Linked DNA regions of Cricetulus griseus. The protein of the gene in region 1 interacts with the protein of each later gene in a pairwise test. Links are inferred from orthologs where the notes say so. Each region holds a gene or a part of one and is shown on either strand. Other genes may lie near its edges. The genes, in order: Cdkn1a, Spred1, Bccip, Bag6, Trim54 and Flad1.

Region 1 (4,018 bases):
AGAAAAAAAATCAACTTCTTTTTTCTTTCTTGTATATTGTATGTATGTGTTCATCTGTGTAGGTAAGGGTGCGTATGTATACGTGTGGTGTGTCACACCAGAAAATCCAACCCTGCTTGTCATTCCTCAGATGTTGTCCGCTCTGCCATGTGTTTCTCCTGTGTCTGTTTGAGACAGAGTCTCTCTATGTAGCCCAGCTATCCTAGGACTCACTCTGTAGACCAGGCTGGCCTCAAACTCATGAAGATCTACCTGCCTCTGCCTCCCAAGTGCTGGGATTAAAGGTATGTGCCACTGTGCCTGGCTTCAGCTTGTGCTTCTTAAAAAATATGTATGCACATGTTATACTTTATTTATTTTGTGTGAGTGAGTGTGTGTGCACATGCATGTGGGTGCATGTGTTTCATGGGGCCCCGGGGATGTCAGAGAAATCAGTCTTCTCCTACCAGGTGGGCCCGGGGATGGAACTCAGTCGGGTTTGATGGCAAATGCCTTTACCTGCTGTGCTGGCCAGTTCCTGCCTCTGCTTCCTGAGTGCTGAGGTTAAAAGTGAGCACCACTACACTGGGCCCTCGCTATGTCCTTCTTCATCCTTGCTTGTTGTGATGTAAGAATCAAACCCACACCAATGGGTTTTAATGTGGTTTGTTAGGTAAAAACACAAATTTAAATGCAGCTCAATCATTTTTGTTTTTAAAATATCTAATTATAGACTGAAGATGTAGCTCAGTCAATAGAGTTTGTCTAGCATGTACAAAGCCCTGGGACCCATGCCAACACTGTATAAACTGGGTGTGGCAGCACACACCTGTCATCCAGCACCAGGAGATTGAAGCAGGAGGTTCAGAAGTTCAAGGTCTTGGGGCTAGATTGCTTAGCAGTTAAGAGTATATAGTGGTCTTGCAGAGGACCCAGAATCTACATTTGGTAGCTCACAGCCACCTGGAACTCTAGATCCAGGGGATCTGATGCCCCCTTCTGGCTTCCTCAGGCACTTGCACTCACATGCACAAACCTCACACTCATATACACATAACTATAAACTAAATCTTTAAAAGAAAGAGGGAGCTGGAGAGATGGCTCAGAGGTTAAAAGCAACGACTGTTCTTCCAGAGGTTCTGAGTTCAATTCCCAGCAACCACATGGTGGCTCACAACATTCCGTTATGAGATCTGGTGTCCTCTTCTGGTGTGCAGATATACATGGAAGCAGAATGTTGTATACATAATAAATAAAATCTTTTTTAAAAAGAAAGAAGTTTAAAGTCATCCTCAGTTATAAATTGAATTGGATGACATCCTGAGCTACATGAGATCCTGTTTCAACAAAACAAACAGCCTTCAAGATACCCCTCCCTCAAGCTCAACTTTCTGGATGGTCCCCAAGAGAGGACTTGGCATTCTTTACTATTTCTGTTCTTTGTTAAAGCCCGTCCCAAGACAAGCCCCAGCATACACCATCAAAGTGCTAAGGATTTGGGGTTCGGAGCCTCTGATTGCACAGTGGGGCAATGGCCTCAGAAGTTCAGAACCATGGCCCCCCCTCCACCCAGCACAGGTAGGCAGATGACAGGAAACAAGGCCCTGGGAGCTGCTAGCTTTGGCTGGAATGACTCTGGCAGGGGTCAGGGTGAGTCCGGGTCTTTACTGTGGCCCCTTCCATCAGCTGCTCATCTTTGTCTTTGCCCTAAGGTGTCTCTGGGTTCCTCTGGGGTTATATTGGCACCAGAACCACCCCGGAATGTAGCAGCAGCTCCTCTAAGCCCCAGTGACAGTGGCCGCACTATGGTTGCAGAGCCAGGAGTCACCAGTGTGATGTCCTCTGTTGATCTTCTGTGGCTTCTTAGAGACCTGCACTTGTAGAGAGGGGACCATGTGTCCTCCTGGAAACATTTGAGAGCTTAGGAGAGGGCTGAGGAAGAGCTGGCAGGGTGGGTGGGGCATGGAGGGGGCATGAAGGGGACATGGAGCGAGGCCTGGCACTGTGAAACAGACAGACTATGAAATGTGACAAGGGTGTGCTTGGGGCACACACCTATAACCCCAGGCAGGAAGATCATGTCTTTGAGACCAGCTTAGGCCACATAAGATCTGTTTAAACTGAACCAAGTGTGGCAACACACCCCTGATATTCAGGGGAAGAAGCAGGAGGACTGCCATAAGTTTGAGGCCCACTCATTCTACGTGAGACCAACTGAAACTAAGATAGAACAGAGCCAGTTACTTCACTGAGGTAAAGATTTGAGGGAGAAGGAGATCATCTCTCACACTCGTGAATCCAGGAAAGGTGTTCTAGGTGGCCGGTGCTCTCCATGCAGTGAGTCAGAGGTCCAGGCCCTTTCTGTCCTATAGCTTCCCAATCTTGAGGGCCTGGAGGTCTATTCCCTGGGCTGGAGGAAGGAGAAGGCTCTAAAGAGGATGTGTGCACTTTGTCAACTGGCTCAGGAGTACTCAAATTGCCTTCTCTAGACCAGACCATAGATGGGAAGCTGACAGATGGCCGTGTATGGCTGCAGAGGTCTCTGTAGTCCCTGGCTGGGGACACAGTTGATGTGACTTACTTCTTGCGGAGTCTCTATGAGCAGATGGGATGTCCTCCTGCCTAGGAAGTCATCCTAGGCTTTTCCCGCTGAGGCACAGACCGAGAGAACACTGCAGAGGCGCCTAGGAAATGGGTTCTCACATATGTGGACCATCCAGCACCACAAGAAATGAAACCATGAGGTCCACACAGGGACAAAGGAACAGTGCACACTGCCTCCACACACAGCAGGACCCCACTTCCTCCTTCTGGTACACAGCTTTCAAAGGAAAGGAAAAAAAAAAAAAAAAAAAAAAAAAACAGCATCAAAGCCGAAGGAGTTACCGGCCCACATGCAGGAAATCCCTTATTTGGCAAATCTCCTGAATCCCCTGGGGACCTAGGAGACAGCTTGCTAGGAAGCCCCCCAGAATTTCTTATAGGGGGTGCATTGTGCTCAGCCTAGATCTGGAAGGGTGGGGGTTCACTCCCTGAGACCTCAAGAAAGGTCCAATCTCCCTCTCTGTATTTCAACTGGCTGGAAATGGCTCCATCAGCCGCCCATCCTCCCTAACCTAGGGTTTCTGAACAGAGGGGAAGAGGGTGGAAAGGGACTTGCCTTTGGGAGAATACTCACGTTGTCAGGCCGGAGTCTGAAGCAGGGGGATGGAAGGTTCAAGGCCTGTAGAGTGAATTCAGGGTCAACCTGAGGTTTCAGTAAATGAAACTTCATGCAAAGAGCAAAACCAAAGAATTAGGGGATGAAGCTTGGTGGTCGAGCCCCTGCCTAGCATGCCAGGGATCAATGCCCATGGACTGAAGCAAAGAGAAAAGGAGAAGAACAAAACAAAACCCTCAGGGCTTAGGAAAAAAACAGCTGCCTGTGGCCTGCTCTCTCTGTCTCCCTCCTTCCCTCTCTCTCTCTACCCCCTTTCTGCTCTCCCTGTCTCTCCTCTCTGCTCTCTCCTTCTCTCTGCTCTCTCCTTCTCTCTGCTCTCTCCCCATCTCTGTTCTCTCCCTTTTCTCTGCTCTCTCCCTTTCTCTGCTCTCTCCCTGTTCTTTTCTCTCCCTCTCTCTGCTTGCCCCCTCTCTCTCCCTCTCCCTCTCCCTCTCCCTCTCTCTCTCTTTCTCCCTCTCTCTCTCTCTCTCTCTCTCTCTCTCTCTCTCTCTCTCTCTGCTCCTGTTTCACTCATGGACAAGTCCAGTCCACTGGCCATGTTCCCTCTACTACTCTCTCTCTCTGCTCCGGTCTCTTCCAGATGCCTCTGACTTTTCTCTCCTCATAACTACATTAAAAAAAATACCTCCCCTTAGCCATACCATAGAGCAGACACACCATCAGTTTATACGCCACCAAGCCTAAGGACCTGAGTTTGGCTCCCAAAACCCACACACATGAAGAAGGAGAAAAACAACCCCTGAAAGTTGTTCTCTGACCTCCACATGAGAACCTGGCATGTGTGCCTGCATATACATTCATGGCCATGACAAAAAGAAA
Region 2 (4,079 bases), on another chromosome or scaffold:
TTCTACACACACACACACACACTTTCTCTCCTCACTCCCCTGTGCAAGCAGCTAGGGGACTACAGCAATGCAACTAGAGGGACAGCAGGAGGAGCTCGCTTTGCAGTCCTGCCCTGTAACCCCCACTAACTAGAGATGAACTCAAGCCAGTTCCATTCTTTGCAAGGAAAACACAACACACGCGCGCGCGTGCACGCGCACCGAGCAGAACGGAGCGGCCTTCTGATTTCTTCCTCGAACACACGGTGGATGTGCAGCCTGTTTGTAGAGACAACCTGGACATTCCAGGCTGAGTAACGGGGAGTTGCGCGTCGCAACAATGCCAGTCCCGGAGCAGCTCTGCTCACAGATCCCACCCCCCGCCCCCTTTCGCGGCGTGCCAAGAGTTTGGAGCGCGCGCACGCACACGCGCGCGGTGCAGCGGTATATCCCTCCGCCGCCCTCCTCGCCCCGCTCCCGCTGCCCGACGATTTGGGAAGCGAGGGGAGGAGGGAACTACTTTTCGGAAACTTGTTATGCTGCCCACGATCTCGAGCTGCAGTGATTCGCCTGCGGGCCGTGGCTTTTAGGTCTTCCCCCACCTCCCAGAGGCCCCGCGCTGCCCGCTCGCAGCCGCGCCCCACGTCCGTCCGCTCGCCCGCCCGCCTGCTCCCGCGCGCCCCAGAAGTCGCGAGGGACTACTTCGCCTGCCTCTCCCGCGGGCGCCCCCGGTTCGCGCGGCGGAAGGAGCGGGCGGCGTGAGAGCTTCCGCCGCCCCCCTCGCGGCTCCCCTCTCGCGGGCGTGAGGAGCGGGCCCGCGGAGCTGCGCTGGTCTCGGCCCTCCTCGCCGCCGCTCGGAACTGTGCCCTCGGGCTCGGACGGCCACTTCGCGCCCTGCCTGCGGCCCCCAGCTGGAGCGCGTCTGAGGGAGCCCCTGAGGGCCGACCGGGTCGGCGCGCCGCGCGGGCAGCCGGCGGCCAGGCGGGAGATGGTGCGCGGCACCTCGGCGGACCGCGCCGCCGCCCGCAGCCAGCGCTCGGCTGCCCCCCGCCCCCGCCGCCGCCCTCCAGTCGGCGCGCCCTGAGAGCTGCACCGCCTCAGCCGCCGGCCGCGTCCCTTCCAGCGCCTGCAGCCGCCCGCGCCGTCTCGGCGTCGCACCCGGCCTCGGCACAGCGAACCGCTGGGGTCGCCACGGCCGCGCTCACTGCCGCCGCCCCCCTGCGGGGGTGGCCGGGCTGCCCGGCTCGCGGGGCGCCGCTCCGGGTGAGGCGTCCACCATGGTGAGGCCCCCGAGCCGCTGCCCGCGCGCCCCGCCGGCCGCCGCCGCCGCCGGCCCGCCGTCCCTCGGTGCCGCCGCTGCCGCTGCTTCCCCGCCTGCTATTGCTCCTTCATCTCCTGAGCGGATCACGGTGAGGGAAAGATGAGCGAGGAGACGGCGACTTCTGACAACGAGTAAGCGAGCCCTGGTGGGCAGCCCCCTCCCCCCCAGCCCGTCCCGCCCGGGAGGTGATAGATGCCCGATGTGTCGTCGGGTTGTGTTCTTTCATGGCAGCACCCCTTTCCATCTTTGCAATCGCCTCCCTGCTTGGGGAAGGCTATCGAGTGCGGAGCAGAGGCGGTGTAGCAATCGGACGTCTCCGAGACGGAGTAATGTGGGTGGCTCAAAGTGGAGTAGAAACTACCCTTTGCCTGCCCTTCACTCCTGCATCCCCCCCCCCCCCAGCACCTTGAACATCCAGCCATCTCCCTTTACATCTATTTCGCTCGGAAACTAATGTGTGGGTGCACCTCCTGCCGCAAACTGCTCTCGAATCCTAATTCGATGACTCAGTGACTCTTAAATGCTGCCGATTAAGCCTTCGCCCCCTGTCCCACTTTTTAAACTTATGACCTATACTGGTCTGGTAAAAAAAAAAAAATAGGGTTAGGGAAACATTTTAAGAATTAAATAGGATTAAGAACACCTGGAGTGTGGGCGATGTTGAGCTATTGTTTTGTTTTAGACCTTGGCGAATATTGAACTCGTCCTCATTAAGAACAGAACAATTAGGAATTTTGAATGCTAGTGTCTGGCTTTCGTCTGTGATAAAGCACCGTTTACATTGCCGAACGCGTTGGTGACTTTGTCAGTTTCATCTAGAGCATTCCGCGACTTTAAGTTTTTTGCTTATTTGGGCTGTCCTTATGTTTTCCAAACGAAGCACTGTGCCTTTTAAATATAGCAGCCGCTTGGAGGAAGAATGGTGCTGTAAGATTTTCCTGTTGAGAAGGGAGTTAATTTGAGGCAGAATATTGGCGTCCGTTTTCTTGTGATTGAGTTCAAGTTTTGTTTGTTTCTGGAGGGTTATGAAGAGTTAAATGAGGATGCATTCCTTTAAATAAAGTACATTCCTCAAGTCAGACCTCTTCGAGAAGGCTTTAAGGGCCAGTGCCGAAGCCCGCTTAGCATAAAATAGCTAGAAAAATACCAGGCAGCGTCCCCCCCTCTTTGAAAAGCACACACTGAGGGAGAGGGCGTGGAAGGAGGTGGATTGCTGCAGTCAGTGCAGTCTAGAAGCAGAAGTGGCCGCCATGTTCTCTCTTTTTTGTGAATCGCCCTCATTTGCATAGCACACTTCATTCATAAAAAAAATAATTAAACATCCATCACCTTGGACAACTTGAAAGGGTTTCCTAAGAAAAACATTCGAAGCTTGTTTGTCTTTATGTAGATTTTTGAGTTCGGGAAGTGAGGAGAATTAGAAGTTTTAGATTAAATTTTAGAACATACGCACACACAAACAACTACCCCAGTTCTCAGAATGTTGACACAGTTATGTGGGAAATATCAGTTCGGGGAGGTGCTGGGATCACGTGATCGCCTCCATTCATAAAATACCTGGCTGTCCATTCACAGTGCAGTACACTGTCACTGCCTTCCGCAGACTAGACCTATTTTGAGCTAGATCTAGAAGCCTGTCTCAGATGGTGCTGGGTTAGGAGAAAAACTGCGGAAATGCTGAAGGGATTGTCGGGGACTTTAATTAGTATCTTGGAGGAAAGCAGCTGGGATAAAATCTTACCTATTTTAGAGATGGGGAAAGATTTCTTACCAGTTTAATAGTTTAGAAAGTATTATTTCCTTGATGCGGCTGAGGAACAAATGATGGGGTGTGTACTAATGCAGACATATGATAGATTGTTTCAAAACGGGCCTTTTTTTTTGGTATTATGGCAAATTGAAAGTGCAAGTAAGTGTGAGAGAGATCTCAGTGGATGGAACCTTTGTTGCACTAAATGAAACAAAAATATTTCCGATGTTTTTAACCCTCAAGGTATTGATGCTTTGAAACAGAACACTTTGGAAATAATTCATCCAGATTTTTAAAATTGTTTTCACAAATATATCCTGCCTTATTAATACATTGTTCCCCAGGAAAGGAGTCGTCTATGTTAGGATGTATTATCCTCTGAAAGGTTCTTCCTAGGGCATTTTTTTTTTTTTAATTAACGTTAGAAAATGGTTGTGTTCACCTGGTAGTCATTGCTGCTAGAGCTTACATTGTTTACTTGTGCCTTAGCTCAACCACAAAGTGGATTTCTTAGAATGTCAATTTTAATCTGGTCATTTGTAGATCTCATCTTTATCGTAGGAGGTGAAGTTTTGAAAATGGAAATTCAAAAATTACTTAAAATCATACGTTATGAAGGAGTGAAAGATACAGTAGGGCACTCATGGTTCTAGGTATAGTTTAAAATGGCCTTGTATTATTTTTTCCCTTTTTCAAAGGGATTTAATTACAGTAGAAATTGTTCTTAGCATTTTATTGCTTCATTTTTCTTTGTTTTTAGCCTTTTAAAGAAGGCGAAAAATTACTAATTTCTTGAAGACTGTTAACTTTTAAAAATTAATGGATAGCTGTTGTACTGAAATATAATAAGGCCTTTTAGAATACTCATTCTGAAAACCATTTGAATTTAGATTTTTTTTTAGTAGAGAAATAGCTAACTGAGGTGATTGTATATCTAATCAAGAATTAGTAGATGTATTATCTAAAAGGCTTTGTTTTAACAGTGACAAATGAGGAAATGAATGAGAATAGGATGAAGCACCCACACTT
Region 3 (4,050 bases), on another chromosome or scaffold:
CACACCTTTAATCCCAGCACTCAGGGAGGCAGAGGCAGGGGATCTCTGTGAGTTCGAGGCCAGCCTGATCTACAGAGCAAGTTCCAGGATAGGCTTCAAAGCCACAGAGAAACCCTGTCCCGAACCGCCCCCCCCCAAAAAAAAAAGAAGGCATATGTCCCCCAGTCCTCTAACCACTTTGGTAAGCAGCTAGCAACAGAATCCAAGAGAAAAAGCTACCTCTGCAGGACCTGAGCTATACACATTCCTTTATTCTTGATAGACCATTGTTTTTTAAAAGGTTTGAGATTGATTCTGATCTTCCAGGATAATTTTCATGGACTTTTACATCAGAGAAATTAATTGTGGGTGAATAAATGTATCAGAAAATGAAAGCCTTCTTCAATTAAATGAAGGAAGAAATACCCACCAAGGATTTCCTCTTCTCTTCACGGTACTGTCAAACAACAAACACAGAAGCTGATGGATCCCCCCCACCCCACCTTTGTTTCTTTTTTCCTCTACATAACTATATATACACATTTTGCCTTAACTTGCTGTGTGGGCTAACTTGTAAAATAGTGACAATTCCTAAGTTTATGGTGCTGATATGAGAATTAAATGAGCTAATACAAAATGCACAGAGCCTGGGGGTATATATAGTTATTGTTATTATCACTGTCAATTTCTAGAGGGTAAATTCCTACAAGTTACTGAGTCAGGAGTTATATGTACTTTAAATTTTGATAAATTCTGTCAAATTACCCTCCAAAGAAGTTGCACAGATTTATGCTTCCACTAACAGAGCATGTAAGTGCTTATATTGCTACACTATTATCAATGATGGCATTCTTTCTGTTGCTGTGAAAAACAGCATGACCAAAAGCAACTTGGGAGGGAAAGGGTTTCTTTTATCTTACACTTCCAGGTAATTCTTCCTTGTGGAGGGAAGTCAGGACAGGAACTCAGGGCCAGAACTGACTGAAGCAAACCACAGAGACCACTGTTTACTGGCTTGTTTATACCACCCAGGACCAGGGGTGGCATCACTCACAGTGCACTGAACTCTCCCATATCAATTAATTAAGCAGATGCCCACAGACAAGCACACAGGCCAACGTGATTGAGGAAATCTCTCATCTGTGGTTCCCTCTCCCCACATTTTATAATTACAGTACACACATTTTTAGTCACTGGCAATCTGTTAAGATTTTCCCATGTTAATGAAAGAAGTGCTGACTTCTAAAACCCTAAGGTAGCAAAACAGCTGGTAAACATTTTTCTAAGTGAAAATGTTGAGATGGTGTTCAAAGCAAGATAGACAAAGCAAAGCAATGACTTGGAAGGGTAGACAAGCTACATATCCACATCATAGCCTCATTCCCAAAGCCGCACTACAGTTCAACTCCTCCTCCCTTGCACATTCACGTCAATGACCATTTTCACTCATTCTCTCTTGCCTGTTCTGAGCCAGCCATCCTGGCTGAATCCATATTCTACCCCACCCCCACCCCATCCCCCTGTCTTTCAAAAACAGGATTTAGGATTTTTCTACAAAGGAAATAGGAAGCCATTAGAGCATTCAATGAGGGAGAGTAGAATAGACCAGCCAGATCTCTCTGGCAGTAAATGGAGTACAGACAGTAGAAGGACAAAAATGGAAAGGCATGACAGTGAAAAGCTACTATAGATGGCTGGAAGTATGACTCAATGGTAAAGTGCTTGCCTACCATGCACAGTATACTGGGTTTGATTCGCAGCACTTCAAAAACAACAAAATAAAGTTACAGGTAATTTCGCTGTGGCTATCCCAGTCTTAATTTCATCTAAAAAAAAAAAAAAAAAAAAGGAAAACCTTTATAGTAACCAGACAAGAGATGATGGAAGTGTGAACTAGAATAGTAGCAGGATCAATATGTGCCTGGATACTGAAGGAAAAAGCTAATAGAATTTACTGATGGACTGGGTGAGGGGTGAGATAGGAGGCATAACACCGGCAAACTGGGGAACTATTATAAACCCTGCTTTGGACCGTCAAGTCTGAAGTCCCTAGACAGCAATTGTCTTGAACACTGTTTGAATCCTAATCATTCACCTAGAAAGAAGGGCTTCAACCACCGGAAAGTAGGTACTAAGAAAGGACATCAGTTCTGTGAGACCACAAAACCAAATCTGACCACGTTGGCTGTCCCAGGGAGGCAGGAAATACGGTCTAGCTGTGATTAGACAGACAGACAGACAGACAGACATAACGAAGGGGAAACTATGCAGGATGAAGAGCGTTTGAAGAGTGTAGGACAATGCAGGTAGCCTTTACGAAACTGCAAAGGGCCAGAGTGAGCAAGCCAGTGTAGCAGGGAGAGGAGAGAAGAAACTTCGTCGGTACGCTGGGCCAGTAAAGACTTGGGCCACTGAAGTAAGTGTGTGTGGGATTGGCCGGCTTCTGGGGGATGTAATTCACCCGGGCAGGGCTTCAAGGAGTTATGTGTAGAAAAGCCTGAGGTGAGAACCTGGGTAAGAATGTACCACGTAAGGTTCAACTCCTGAACCACAGCGACTATCACTTTACCACAGCTTCGGTTGCCTGAATTTTGTTTTCTCCCAAAAATATGGTCACATGTGCCTCACCTCGTCCACGATCTCGTCTTCATCCTCTTCCTCGTCACTGTCTTCATCGTCTTCTTCCTCACCCTCCACCTCATCCTCTTCTTCCTCCTCGCGCTGGTCCTGCTGTCCCAGAGGCCGCTGAACCCCGTTTCCCAACGCTCGCTTCTTAGCTTTGGATGCCATGCTGCCGGCCACACTGCGCCTGCGCAAATCCCGCCCCTGTCCTTCCGGTCTATCGTTGGCCTAGGGGTAAACAGGCTCAAAAAGTTCGCCGCGGAGTCGGCGCGACCCAGACAGAGCCCTGGATGAGTCCCGCAGAACTAATGTGACAGATTTATCTTCACCGCGGGGTCATGGTGTGACCCTCTCTTCTTCCCTCCATCCTCCTGCCGTCCTCATTCTCTCCGGGTCTTTCCTGTGTGCGCAGTGGTTGGGCCCATCCTGCGTTCCTTCCGCCGGCGCCTAGATGCCTGTGCGCGTGCACAGCCAGATGTGTACGGGCGGCCCACGCGCCTGAGGTACGAGCCCGGGGACCGCTAGCTGCCGGGTGAGGGGCGGCTCCCGGTTGTCTGTGCTCAGCAGCCCCGACAGGGACCGCGAGATTCTTGCCCCGCGGCGTGCAGGTCGGTCCTGCTTCTGAGCCCGCGAGGTAGGTGTCGGGCTCAGGACCCGACTAGGGCACAGGTCTGTGGACTTGCACGCAGGCCCTAGCGATCCGTGACTCCCGTGCAAAGAGGGGCTGACCGGCGCTCCCGGAGTCCGCGCCAGAAGGCCGGCTGATCCTGGCAGGGGCCGGGCCCATGCCATCTCCCTAACAAAGTTCTCAGTAGACAAGACGACCACATGGGACCACAGTGTCGTTAAAAGACTTGCTTGAAAAGAATAGAACCGAAAGAAAGGGATTGCGGCAAGTTAGCGAGTGTTACCCCGCCTCTGCCACTACTTGTGGATAAATGAAGTACTGGTCCAAAGTTTCAGATTTTAAGAGAAGCCAGATTTTTGCAAGGAGCATCCTGAAGGTTAGAACCTTCTACCAGTCAGGTTTATCCTACAGTCTGCTGACTTGAAGCTCCTTGTAAAGGTTATTGAGAAAGATCATTAACTAGAGAAAACATTAACTTCCTGACAAGAGGCTCTGTGATTCTCCCCCTCCCTTTTTTTTTTTCTTTAAAATTACGGCAGCATATGAGGTGTGTTTAATTCCGAAACCAGAGTGAGCTGCCCCTAGAAGTAAGGAAGCCTTTGCCAGAGAAATTTAGGGAATGTGAATAGCCCCAATGATTCTTCATCAGTCAGGACACCAAGGCCCCCATTAACCCAGAGTTCCCATGACGGTGAGATCTAGGTGTCCCGGGAGCTTCTTATGTACCAGTCTATATCGTGGACAGTAATGACACCAGGATTACACCTCTGATAGAGTAACTTAAAATGGCTACTTCCTAAATCCAGACCTCTACTTGGGTT
Region 4 (4,205 bases), about 26 Mb from region 1:
CCTGTCTCGAAAAACAAAACAAAACAAAACAAAAACAAAAACAAAAATGAATAAAGTCTTAAAAACATTTTTTTTGAAGCCAGGTGGTGGTGAACATCTTTAATCTTAGCAGACTCTGTGAATTCTAGGCCAGACTGCTATACAGATTGAGTTCCAGGATAGCAAGAGGTACACAGAGAAACCTGGGGGGATGACACACCTGATACACCCTCAAACAACCATTTCCACCAATGGCAAGTAATACTGGGTTGGGATCCAGGGTCTGGGAAGATAACTAATGAAGAAGTAAGAAGGGAGCCCAGGAGGTTTCCTAGAGTTCAGGGGTAGGTACTTTGTGCTAGGTCCAGGGTTCAACACCAGTAGGAACATCCCCCCCCCAATAAGGGGAGGAGGGAAAATGAAGAACCCAAACAAACCAACGTGGTAGCACACACCTGAGACCCCCAAATTTGGGAAGCAGAGACAGGAGGATGACGAATCCAAAAGACAATCAGTTCTAAGACACTTAAAACCCTACCTCAGCCAGGCAATGGTGGAGCACGCCTTTAACCCCAGCACTCGGGAGGCAGAGGCAGGCGGATCTCTGAATTTGAAGTCAGCCTGGTCTACAGATAAAGCTCCAGGACAGAGAGGGCTACACAGAGAAACCCTATTGGGGAAAAACTAAACAAAACAACCTAAAACAAGTCAGGTATGCTACACCTAAAATCCTAGCACAGAGGATGGAAGTCAGAAGGTCAAAGCCAGCCTGAGCTCTATGAGGTATTGCTGTCCCTACCACCCCCAAAAAGAATCTTCCAAATTAGACAGTAACTCTTGGTAAGGGCCATCAGACACCTACTCACGAAAGTGTACCCGGTGTTCCCAATGTTTTATAAAACCACGAAAGTGACCCGTTCATGATTTGTTCCCGAAAAGATTTATGCAGTAAAGACAAAGATAACTGTGCCCACACTGCACCCTGTAAGCTCGGGAGGTTCAAACCACCCCTCAAGATATTGGCAATCCTCCTGAACAGAGCACAAAAGCAGGCTCCCGGGATCTATAAATACAGTGTTAAGGCCGAGAACAAGTTGTTCAAAGACAGAGCAAACACAGCACACTTGTCTGAGGCCCCGGTGCTGCTTCCGGTCCCCCAGGCCGGAATCATCCGTGTCCCTGTGGGCAGAGGTCCGCCCAGGCCAGGTACAGATTCCTCCGCGGCATTTCCCTCTCCACCGAGCTCCACCGAGGTGAAGGCGGGCGGAACAAAACCTGCCTCACTCAACGGTAACCACACCTCCTCACTCAACAGGAACATCAGAGGTTCTACCGAGGGAGGGACAAAGGAGTCGGTGACAAGACAAGCAGGCTCGCCCCTCGGAAGGCACACGAGCGAAGCGGGCACACACACCGCCGCCTCTCCCCCCGCCTCACCTGGGCCCCCACAATGAACGTCCGAGTCTGAGAGTCCAGGGTCTTCACCAGGACCTCCAGGCTGTCGGGCTCCTCCATAGCGGTCCTGGCACTATCGCTCGGCTCCATGGCCGACAGCTCTCTACGGAGAGACGAGGGAGGGAGGGGGTGGTTCGCCGCCGCCCGCTCGCTCGCCCGCTCGCCCGTCAGTCCGTCCGCCCGCCCGCCCCGCCTTCTACACACCCGGAAGAGCGTCCGGGCCCGGCCTCCGCCCCGATCCCTCTCAAAGTTTCTCATACACAAACACATCCACTCGTCCTCGCCCTCATCGCCCCCTCCTCGGCCCCGAGGCCCGGGAGGAGAAACACAAAGGGCAGGAGGGGGACGGCACCGGGAGGCGAAGGGCGAGCGGTGGGAGGGGCTCCACGGTGCCAATCACGGTCGGGAGAGCCAGTTGGGCTACGAGCCGGGCAAGCAAGCACGAGACCGACCGGACACCAGTTGTCATCACCGGTCGCGACCCAGCAAGCGCCCGAGAGAGCGGGAGAGCCGAGGACAACGCGAGGGGGGGGCGGGGGGAGGGTCGGGTCGCGCCGCGCCGCGCCGCGCTCGGCGGACAAAGTGGCTCCGCGCACGCGCGCCACGGCGATCGAACCCGCCTCAAGCACCACAGGCGCCGGGGACGCGGACACTCACGGGAGCCCGACCGGCTCGCTGGCCGCCCGTCCTTCCGCCTCCGCCTCCGCCGGCGTTGCAGCAGCAGCGCGCGCGGCCCGACACGCGGCCCCTCACATACAGACACACGGACACACAGACACACGCACACACACGCACGCACGCACGCACGCACACACACACACGGCGAGGCGCGGCGCAGCGCCCCGCGGCTCCGCCCCCCCCGCCGGCTCCCCGCCGTACCGTCACTTCCGGCCTCCCCCAAGCGGGCACCACAGGCCACTTCCGTTTCCCCGATCGTATTTGGGGCTCTCGAGGCGGTACTTCCGGCTCCCCCAGGCTCCCCCCAATCTGCTTCTGCGGGGCACGACGAGGAAGTCCGCAGCCCCAGACAGTGAGTTCCCAGGGGCCGAGACGGGCCGGGGCCGGCCTAGATGGGAGGGAGCCGACCACCCCGAGGAGCCGCCGCCGCCGCCGCCGCCGTCGCCCGGGGGACCGCACTGCGCCTGCGTGAGCCGCGCGGCGCGTGCGCACACCGCAGCCCCGCCCCCCGCCCCGCCCCGCCCCGCCTCGCCTCGGGCTGCGTGCGTTTCTCCGCCGCCCCCCGCCCCCACCCCCACGGCGCGCGCCCCGCAAGCGCCGCACGGCCGAGGTGGCCGCCGTAACGCCTGAAGGAAACCCTCGCTGAGCGGGATGCCGCCCCTACCCGGAGAGACGCTGTGGACGCCCGTGGGGGACTCGTGGGGCTGTTGCACGCCGTGCGCCTGCGTCCGCGTTGGGCGGGCAGAGGAAACGCACGGGCACAGCCCTAGCCACCTAAGCCCCGGCAGGGCCTCTGGTCCTCCCGCACTGCCTGCGCTCCCGGAAGCCGCTCCCCCCCGCCCCCCGCCGCCCGACGGTTGGACGTTCCGTGGGCCGTGTGCGCTCGCACCCGAGCCGGACCGGGCGGCTGCGCGCCTCGCAGACTGTGGCGTGTGCTGAGGGTCGTTGGTTGGTCGAGGGCGCCCGAGGGAGCGCCATGGTTCAAGACCACCGAGCGTTTCGCCGCTGGTGGAAGCGGGGCCGGCGCGCGCCTGTGACCCCGGCCCCCGGAGGCCGGCCTGGGCTACGCCGGGAAGCGCTAGCGCTCTGGAAAAGACAAGACCAAGCAAACCCCCAGCGCGCGTGCCCGGGCCACAGGGTTAAAGGGCGAGAGAAGGGGTTGGGGGTTCCCCGCTCATCCCCGCCGGCAGTGAGCACTGTTTAGTGAGCAGTGGTTGCTTTGTCCCAGCCTGAATGCTGAGGCTTTCACCGTGTTCCCCTGAAGTGCCTGGAACTCCTCACGCCCCACAGCCCCACAGCTCCACGCCACTGCCCGGGGCTGGCATTAAAGTCGCCCTGTGGCACCCGGCCAGACGTCATTTATTTATTTTTCTGAAACGCGGTTCTCACTATGTAGATCTGGCTGTCCCGGAACTCAGGGATCCACCCACCTCTGTCCTAAAAACATTTTTTTGGAGGGGGAAGGGGGGGCGGCGGGCTATGTGCCTTGCATCTACCACAGCAGCCTAAGTGTGGAGAAACATACCGGAGTCCCCTTCCCACTGTGGGGACCTGGGGATCAAAGCCAGGTCCTCAGGCTTGGCTTGGTATCAAGCACCCTAAACCCACCTTTTAGTGTGTCCTCATAAAATTGGAAGGGCTGGAGTGGGAGGGCACTTGCCCGGCAAGCCCAAGGCCTTGGGTTTGATCCCTTGCTCCCACACACAAGCCTGAGCATCACTCCAATAGAACGGTCATGCCTATCACCGCCCACGTTTTTGTGATTGCTTTGTAGCAAGATAGTAAGTACCAAGGGTGGCCTGAATGGCAGTCGGACTCTGGCCAGCGTGAGTGTGTCCAGCATGGATCTGGCGATCCTTACCCTTCTCTTACTCCCTCTCCCCTGCTCAAAACTGTTAGGTTACATTCCTGAAGATAGTCACCATTGTAGGGATATATTTGTGACTTATTAAAGCTTGCCTGAGGATTCAGGAAGCAAACCCTTTTTGGCCACTACCTCTCCCTGAGGCTGACTACCAAGATCAGCTATCAAAGTATTGAAGTCCAGCAACCGAAAGCCCCCTTTGGCTCACCTAATTAACATGCCCAACTAA
Region 5 (4,032 bases), on another chromosome or scaffold:
CAAGAAAGCCTGCTATGCCAAGGAACCTAAAAGGCTATGTTCTCAGTGAAGTTAAGACCCACTTGTGTCAAGACTGGAGAGACAGCCTGGCCATTTGGAACACATGCTGCTCTTTCAGAGCATCAGAGTTTGGTTCCCAGCTGCCACATCACAAACACTGCAGCTCCAGCTCCAGGGGATCTGACACCCTTTTCTGGCTTCTGTGCGCACACACACACACACATACACACACACACTAATAAGAAATATTTTTTTAAAAATAGCTTGTGCTGGGGCTGGAGAGATGGCTCAGAGGTTAGGAGTACTGGCTGCTCTTCCAGAGGTCCTGAGTTCAATTCCCAGCAACCACATGGTGGCTCACAGCCATCTATAATGAAATCTGGTTCCCTCTTCTGGTGTGTGTATACATAATAAATCTTTAAAAAAATAGCTTGTGTTGGGGCTTGTGGTGTAGAGCAATGGTAGAATGCATGTTTAACACACACAATGCCCTGGATTAACCATAGCACCAAAGAGAGGAGGGAAAAAGGTGTGAAAATGTCTGCTCAACTCATTCCCTCATAGTCTGTGAAAAGCAGGAATAATCTTTTTGAGATTTATTTTATGTGTATGTATTTTGCCTGCATGCATAATGCCCATGAGGGGAGGGTTCAGAAGGGAGCATCAGGTCCCCTGGAACTGGAGTTAGACAGTTGTAAGCTATCATGTGGATGCTGGGAACGGAAACTGAGTTGTTTGGGAGAGCAACAAGAGTTCTTAACCACTGAGCCATCTCTCCAGCCCTACCACTTTTTTATTTAATTTTTGAGACTTGGTCTTACTATACATAGCCAGTGGATATACTGGTATAATTGTTCCATAGACCAGGCTAGCCTCTAGTTTGTGGTGGTTACATAGACCAAGCTACCTTCTATTTGTGGTGGTTATGTAGACCAGGCTAGCCACTAGTTTGTGGGGGTTACATAGACCAGACTAGTCTCTAGTTTGTGGTGGTTACATACACCAGGCTAGCCTCTAGTTTGTGGGAGTTATGTATAACAGGCTAGTCTCTAGTTGTGGTGGTCCTCTTAGGTGTTTCAACCACAGGCATGTGTCACACAGCCTGGCTCCTGGCTGGAATCTTATTCCTGATGCTTCTGTCACAGATTTGCACCAAGCCACCCGGATCTTGCAGTTTTTACTTCATCTGCAAGGTCTCATGTCTGTACACGTGAGTCCTGTCCCTTCGCTCTCCCTGACCTCTGATCTAGTTTACAGCCTACTGGAACCTCTATGAATGATACAGGGTAGGAAAGCAAGCCTATGAATTTATAAAGAATTATGATGTATGCATTTATTTAGTTGGTTAGACAGGGTCTCACATAGCCCAAGCTGGCCTTAAACTCATTCTCCGGCTGCCACCTCCCAAGGGCTGGGATTGCAGCCATGCATCACCATGCCCAGCTTTTTTGTTTTTATTTTTGAAATGTGTGGACAGAATGATATCAGTGACTTAACTTAGCTATGCCCGGCCTCATGACCACAGCTACACAGGCATTTCTGGGAAGTACAATTCTGCTTCTGCCTTCTCTCTGTCCATAAATCACCTGAGTATCAGTTGGTCCATGGGCCTCTTCACCAGGTCAGGAGGGCTCACAGGTGTGAAACTGGGGAAAACTTCTGCTTCCCTGGCCCACTGTGTCTAAGCAGCTCCCTCATGGAGAGAGGAGCTCTATCTCAAATATACACAGCTCGGCTGGCATCATAGGCTTTCTCACTGGTTTGTCACAAATTTTTAATTCTAGGGTTTAATTTTATGTTTTGGGGATCAAGTTCAGGTTGTCAGCTTTGGTAGCAAGTGTCTTCACTGTCTTGCTGGCTCTATTATTTTTTTAATACCTCATATTTCATTGATCTCATCTATGGTGTGTAAAGAAAGTAAATAAATAAAACCACAAAGCCTCAAAGTAAATGAAATCTAGTAAGGCTCCCACAAAGTCCAGGCAAGACCACCCTCCTTGCCAGTTTCTGCCAGTCTCCCTGGGGTCCTCCTTCTGACGCTGTGCACACAGGCTGTGCTTGCCAGGCTCTGGGCAACTGCTGACTCGTGCTTCCTCTGGGATCCCACAGCCTCCAACTCTCCTGCCACTGAGTTGGGGCAGCGTCACCATCTCCCGCCTGTGGGACCTGCCACCCAGTCCCTTCCTAGACCTGACCCAGCTGTCCCCAAGCCCACCTGGAAGACGTCATTGGCACACTTGCGGCACAGGTTGTGCTGGCAGGGCAGGATCACCACGGGCTTGGAGAACATCTCCAGGCAGATGGGGCAGATGAGCTGCTTCTCCAGGTTGTCCATGTTGTGTGCATCCCCTAGCAGCGGCTTGAAACCCACGGTGAAGTTCATCCCTTGGCGCTCTAGTGCCTGCCTTGGCCCTGTTTCTGGCCTTCTCTCGCTGCCTGTGCACACTTCTTGTAAACTTTAGGCTGTCTGTGGATTCTTAGGATCCCTGATCTTGCTCCCTCTTGAAAGGGTGATGTTTCCTGTTTCTCTCCCTCTAACGGCCCCTCTCACCCTGGCTATTTCCAGACGCTTCTGTCTGCACTCCCTGTTCAGAGCCGTCTCCACAAACTTGTCCCTTTAGCTCCCCCTGAGAAATTCTCTTGCTCCCCCAAACCACCCTCGTGCTCACTCTACAGGCAGTACTCTTTGTCCCTTGCTCGCTAGAGAGGTTAATATTACTGTGGGGGTAGGGAGACAAGGGGCATTTGTGTGACATTCCAGTTCCCAATTTAGCTCATGTAAGGCGAGCCACAGCTGTCCCGGACTGAGTGACCCTGACTCACTCAGCTGGTGGCTTTCTTGAGCAAGAAGAGCAGCAGGGGTGTCACTGCTTTCAGTGGGTGGTGGGTCAGTGTGGGGCTCACTTGTCACTGGGAAGGTTCCTGCAACCTCTGCTCTCCGTGTTCTGGCTTGAGACCTTCTTCCTAACAGAAACTAGCACATGGGAGAGACAGCACACATGGCTCAGGGTGGGAAGGATGGTCTGGACGGATCTACAGACTTCTGTCTCTCCCTTTTATACTGAGCATTGATCCTGACCCTCCTCCTGGAGACTCAGGATTCAGAAGTGGAACTCCAGACCCTACAAAAGAGAACTTCTTGTCCCATATGTCTGGTCCATATTTGTTCTTGTTCAGCCTTAAAAAAACAACTACATTTATTTACTTTAGGGAGGGGTAGGTATGACATGGAGCATATGTGGAGGTCACAGGTCACTGACAGGAGTCACTTCTTTTTCTTCAGTGTGGGGGTTACAGAAATCAAACTGAGGTCATCAGAATTGGTGACCAATGCCTTTACCTATTGAGCAATCTAGCCACAAACTTCCCTCTCCCTTATTAAAGACAGGCTCTCAGTAGATTAGGTTAACCTTGAATTCACTGTCATCAAGGATGACCTTGAACTCCTGATCCTCTTGACTCTACATCCAAAGTGCTAGGATTAGGGGAGAACACCATTATTCCCAGTTTACGAGGTTCTGGGCGTCAACTCGGGGTCTTTTGTGTACTAGAGAAGCACTGTGCTTACTGAACTACATCGCCCTTGGATGGCCAGTTATATCATCCTAGGAGAGCAGCTGAAGAGGCAAGAGATGGCTGCTGTGCCAGCCCAGGCCTGCCTTATGATCAGGGCATGAGAGTGTGTGATTCTGGTCTACCACTGAAGCCATTTCAGGGACGCTAAATTTGCTTAGAATCTGAGACAGTAGTGGACTGGAGATGTCTCAATGGTTAAGACAGTCTCATGAGGAGTGGAGTTCAGATCCCCAACACTCACAACCACCCTTTACCACAACTCCGAGTGACTCAGCGCCCTCTTCTGGCTTCCACAGGCATGCACAGACAGATGTGCAGACCCATTTACACAGACACACACATGCAGACACACACACACACACACACACACACACACACACACACACACACACACACATATAAAAAAGGAAAAGTGTGAGAACAGATGTGGCTGGAAACATTCCGAATGCTGCAGTT
Region 6 (3,317 bases), about 190 Mb from region 1:
CCAAGAGAGAAGGGCAGGGCCTGGGCTAGGGGTTGCATTGGTGGCTTCATGTGGACAGCAGTTCAGTGGAAGGGTGTGGATGCTGCCTTTGGGGCCTTTTATCTACTGTCCCCACCCCACCAGGCCTCATGACTAAAGACAAAGGCTCTAGGGTCTAGCAAAAGAAGGTTCTGGGCCTTGGAACAGGCTGAGTCAGCCCTATAGACAGGGGTGCTGGTGGTTAGAAGGGAGGGCGTGGCCACTCCATCTTTCACCCTCTACAGCCAAGAGAGCTTAACTTCCCTTCAAAGCAGAAGTTCTGTCTGGTTGCCTCCTCCCGTTTGGTGGCTCTGGCTAAGGCTGACAGAGAGCATCCCTAGTTCCCTGTCTAGTATGTTCTAGCCCATCCCTGGGCCCCCGAGTGAGCGCTGCTGGCTCAGAGCTGGCAGCCTTGGTCCACTTCTGCTTCCCTTGACCTTAAAGCAGGAAGGCATGGCCAGAGCAACAGGCACCAACAATGGTGTGTGAGGTACAGTTTACTGACGTGACAGGTTACACCCCATGCCAGCCCCGTCCCTCAGTCTTGTCCAGAGTGTGTGAGATCATGTGCGGGAGTTCCTTTCCTCATCTTCATTCTCCAGTAGGTATGCTGGACGGTAGACAGGGTGTCCTCCTGGGCTCAGGCACTTCAGGGCTGGGTTCTGCATCGTGTTCTCCCGACTCCCCAGTGATGTGTACCTGGAGGGTTGAAACAGGAGCATGTAAATGATAGCTGGGCTCTCGTTATCCCTCCTTATATCTCCAGCATCCTCTCACCCCACCTCCCCCCACACACACACACCAACCTTACCCTCGGTCATATAGTATACAGTAGGGGACAAACAGCTGACGAAGAAAATCCCAGATGTTTCTGTAGGTCCAGTCCTGGGAAATGACAATCAGTCACTAGAAGTCTCCTCACCACACCCACCACTGCCATCCTGGGGATAGACCCATCAGAGGTACTTTTGTTCCCCTGGCCTTGGGGAAGGCTTGCTGCTATCTGGATGGCTGCTGTACCTTGCCCTGTGTGGGCTAAATAGAGAGGTAGGGAAAGTCCTTACCCCTGTCAGCTTCCACTCCCCAGCCACTGCCCCTGTGGTAGAAGCTTCAGGAGGATGGGGAATGACCGACTATGTGTTTAAGTCTAGAGCTTTCTGCCATGGTGGAAGTGTCTATCCCCATGGGCATTTGAAATGTGGCTAGTATAACTTAAGAAGTGACTTTTAGGGCTGGAGAAATGGCTTAGGGATTAAAAGCACTGATTGTTCTTCCAGAGGACCCAGGTTCAATTCCTAGCATCCACATGGCAGCTCACAACCATATGTAACTCTAGTTCCAGGGACTCTGACATCCTCTTTTAACTTCCTCAAGCACCTGGTGTGCACATGGTACTCAAACATACATTCAGGCAAAACACCCATACGCATAAACTATTTGTTTAAAAAGTGTTTTGTTTTTTTTTTTCTTTCCTTTCCTCCTGGCAGAGTCTTACTATGTAGCTAGCTCATGCAGTTCTCAAGATGGCCATCCTCCTGCCTTATCTCTCCACCTGCTGGGAGCTGAGGTATTCACCACTAGGTATGTCTTACACATCTTAGGCTCTTTCTATACAGCTGGGAATGACCTTGAACTTCTGTTCCTCCTGCCACTCCCAAGTCCCCAGTGATATGCACCTAGATTGGTGAAACAGGGCAAGTGGGGAATGGGCAGGCTTGTGTAAGTATGGTGCTACAGACTGAACCCAGGACTCTGTGTATCCAGGGGAGCACACTACCAACTGAGCTCCACACTGCTTTTATGTGGTACTGGGGATTGAACCTAGAACTTTGTACAAGCTAGGCAAGTACTCTACCAACTGAGCTCTTCCCCAGCCCTATTAACTTATTTTTAAATTTTATTTAAGTAAAAAAAAAAGACATTATGAATCACATGCCATAAATTTCACCCTTTGAAAGTAAATAGTCCAGGGCTTTTGTTTTCTTTAGACAGGATTTCACCCAGGCTGGCCTAGAAGACACTGTGTAGGCCAGGCTGGGTTTGAAGTCACATAACCCTTTTTCCTCAGCCTCTTAGTCTTAATCATTAGTATCTTTTTCTTTTCTATTTTTGAAACAGAGTCTGATATGCCTAGTCTGGTCTCAAATTCACAATGTAGTCAAGGCTTACCTTGAACCTTAAAAAAATTGTATGTATTTGTGTGAGTGTCTTTGTGTACTCGCCCACACAGGGAATGTGTGAGGTCAAAGGGCAAGCTGTGGGAGTCAGTTCTTTTCTTCTACCATCTGTGTCCTGGAGATCAAAGTGAGGTCATCTTTGATCAGATTTGGCAGCAAGTGCCTTTAATGTCGGAGCCATCTTGCCAGCTCTGGCCTTGAACTTGTAACTCTCCTGAGGCTGGAATCACAGGCATGAGCCACTGTTCATGATTTTCAGGTGTGCTGGGCGAGCACTGTATCAAATGAGCTACATCCTCAGCCCCATGATCTATATTTCCTTTCTTTCTTTTAAATAATTTATTTTATGTGCATTGGTGCTTTGCCTGCATGTATGTGTGAGGGTGTCAGATCTAGGAGTTGTCATATGAGTGCTGGGAACTGAATCTGGGTTCTCTGGAAGAGCAGTCAGTGCTCTTAACCTCTGAGCCACCTCTCCAGCCCTATATTTCACTTCAATTTCAATTCAAGTATGAACACATGACTACTATCATATTGGTGTGAGGGTGTCAGATCCCCTGGAACTGGAGTTACAGATAGCTGTGAGCTGCCATGTGGGTGTTAGGAATTTAACCCGGGTTCTGGGGATGAGCAGCCAGTGCACTTAACCACTGAGTCGTGTCTCCAGCCTGACTGCTATCATAGGTCCAGGTCACTGTTTTGACCACAGTGAAAAGCACAATGCCTGTCACTGAATTAGTGCTCAATATTGGTTAAAAGGATGAATGAACAAATAGCACTGCCTCCCTTGAGAGACAGAGCCTCTGGGCTCTAGCCTCCTCCCAGTGGGCAAGGGGAAGGTACAGGGAACTGAGGCAGACGATTCTGTTGCATTACCAGCAGCGGGTTGATGCGCATGAATGAAGGCCAGCCAGGGTCGGTGGGACTGAAATGGCTAAGGCTACAGGAGTAGGGGTCAGTCCGACGGGTGCCCATTAGGACAGCCTCCAGCTGAGGGTGCTTTTCCTGAAGCTCACCCAGGGCCTGCTTCATGTTGCCCTCAGCTTCTAATACCTGCAGATTATACCTTAGGGAGGAAGAGAACAGAGATGAGCATCAGGGCAAGTTCTGCCCAGACCCTCG

What was found.
Region 2: the proteins of Cdkn1a (region 1) and Spred1 interact in binary tests that used the Homo sapiens proteins (3 or more experiments, as listed by UniProt). The link is inferred for Cricetulus griseus from reciprocal best matches to the Homo sapiens genes CDKN1A and SPRED1.
Region 3: the proteins of Cdkn1a (region 1) and Bccip interact in a two-hybrid assay, tested with the Homo sapiens proteins (2 studies listed by BioGRID, with this or other methods). The link is inferred for Cricetulus griseus from reciprocal best matches to the Homo sapiens genes CDKN1A and BCCIP.
Region 4: the proteins of Cdkn1a (region 1) and Bag6 interact in a two-hybrid assay, tested with the Homo sapiens proteins (2 studies listed by BioGRID and IntAct). The link is inferred for Cricetulus griseus from reciprocal best matches to the Homo sapiens genes CDKN1A and BAG6.
Region 5: the proteins of Cdkn1a (region 1) and Trim54 interact in binary tests that used the Homo sapiens proteins (3 or more experiments, as listed by UniProt). The two-hybrid records come from large-scale screens. The link is inferred for Cricetulus griseus from reciprocal best matches to the Homo sapiens genes CDKN1A and TRIM54.
Region 6: the proteins of Cdkn1a (region 1) and Flad1 interact in a two-hybrid assay, tested with the Homo sapiens proteins (2 studies listed by BioGRID and IntAct). The link is inferred for Cricetulus griseus from reciprocal best matches to the Homo sapiens genes CDKN1A and FLAD1.

The regions. Positions count from the first base shown.
Region 1 is NW_023276806.1:257,585,731-257,589,748, reverse strand, and holds the start of Cdkn1a (cyclin-dependent kinase inhibitor 1), read right to left. Parts: upstream 2,801-4,018; 5' UTR 2,561-2,800; intron 1-2,560. UniProt on the Homo sapiens protein: Plays an important role in controlling cell cycle progression and DNA damage-induced G2 arrest. Involved in p53/TP53 mediated inhibition of cellular proliferation in response to DNA damage.
Region 2 is NC_048599.1:61,431,556-61,435,634, reverse strand, and holds the start of Spred1 (sprouty-related, EVH1 domain-containing protein 1), read left to right. Parts: upstream 1-1,279; 5' UTR 1,280-1,399; coding exon 1,400-1,431; intron 1,432-4,079. UniProt on the Homo sapiens protein: Tyrosine kinase substrate that inhibits growth-factor-mediated activation of MAP kinase. Negatively regulates hematopoiesis of bone marrow.
Region 3 is NC_048596.1:67,160,233-67,164,282, forward strand, and holds the start of Bccip (BRCA2 and CDKN1A-interacting protein), read right to left. Parts: upstream 2,801-4,050; 5' UTR 2,770-2,800; coding exon 2,608-2,769; intron 1-2,607. UniProt on the Homo sapiens protein: During interphase, required for microtubule organizing and anchoring activities. During mitosis, required for the organization and stabilization of the spindle pole.
Region 4 is NW_023276806.1:231,657,285-231,661,489, reverse strand, and holds the start of Bag6 (large proline-rich protein BAG6), read right to left. Parts: upstream 2,801-4,205; 5' UTR 2,777-2,800; intron 2,573-2,776; exon of another isoform or gene 2,314-2,572; intron 2,283-2,313; exon of another isoform or gene 2,092-2,282; intron 1,781-2,091; exon of another isoform or gene 1,639-1,780; intron 1,538-1,638; 5' UTR 1,525-1,537; coding exon 1,417-1,524; intron 1-1,416. UniProt on the Homo sapiens protein: ATP-independent molecular chaperone preventing the aggregation of misfolded and hydrophobic patches-containing proteins.
Region 5 is NC_048600.1:13,268,719-13,272,750, forward strand, and holds the start of Trim54 (tripartite motif-containing protein 54), read right to left. Parts: upstream 2,801-4,032; 5' UTR 2,384-2,800; coding exon 2,216-2,383; intron 1-2,215. UniProt on the Homo sapiens protein: May bind and stabilize microtubules during myotubes formation.
Region 6 is NW_023276806.1:65,142,621-65,145,937, reverse strand, and holds the end of Flad1 (FAD synthase), read right to left. Parts: intron 3,262-3,317; coding exon 3,072-3,261; exon of another isoform or gene 1,506-3,071; intron 904-1,505; coding exon 830-903; intron 718-829; coding exon 582-717; 3' UTR 501-581; downstream 1-500. Other genes in the region: Lenep (lens epithelial cell protein LEP503), read right to left, coding at 1-50. UniProt on the Homo sapiens protein: Catalyzes the adenylation of flavin mononucleotide (FMN) to form flavin adenine dinucleotide (FAD) coenzyme.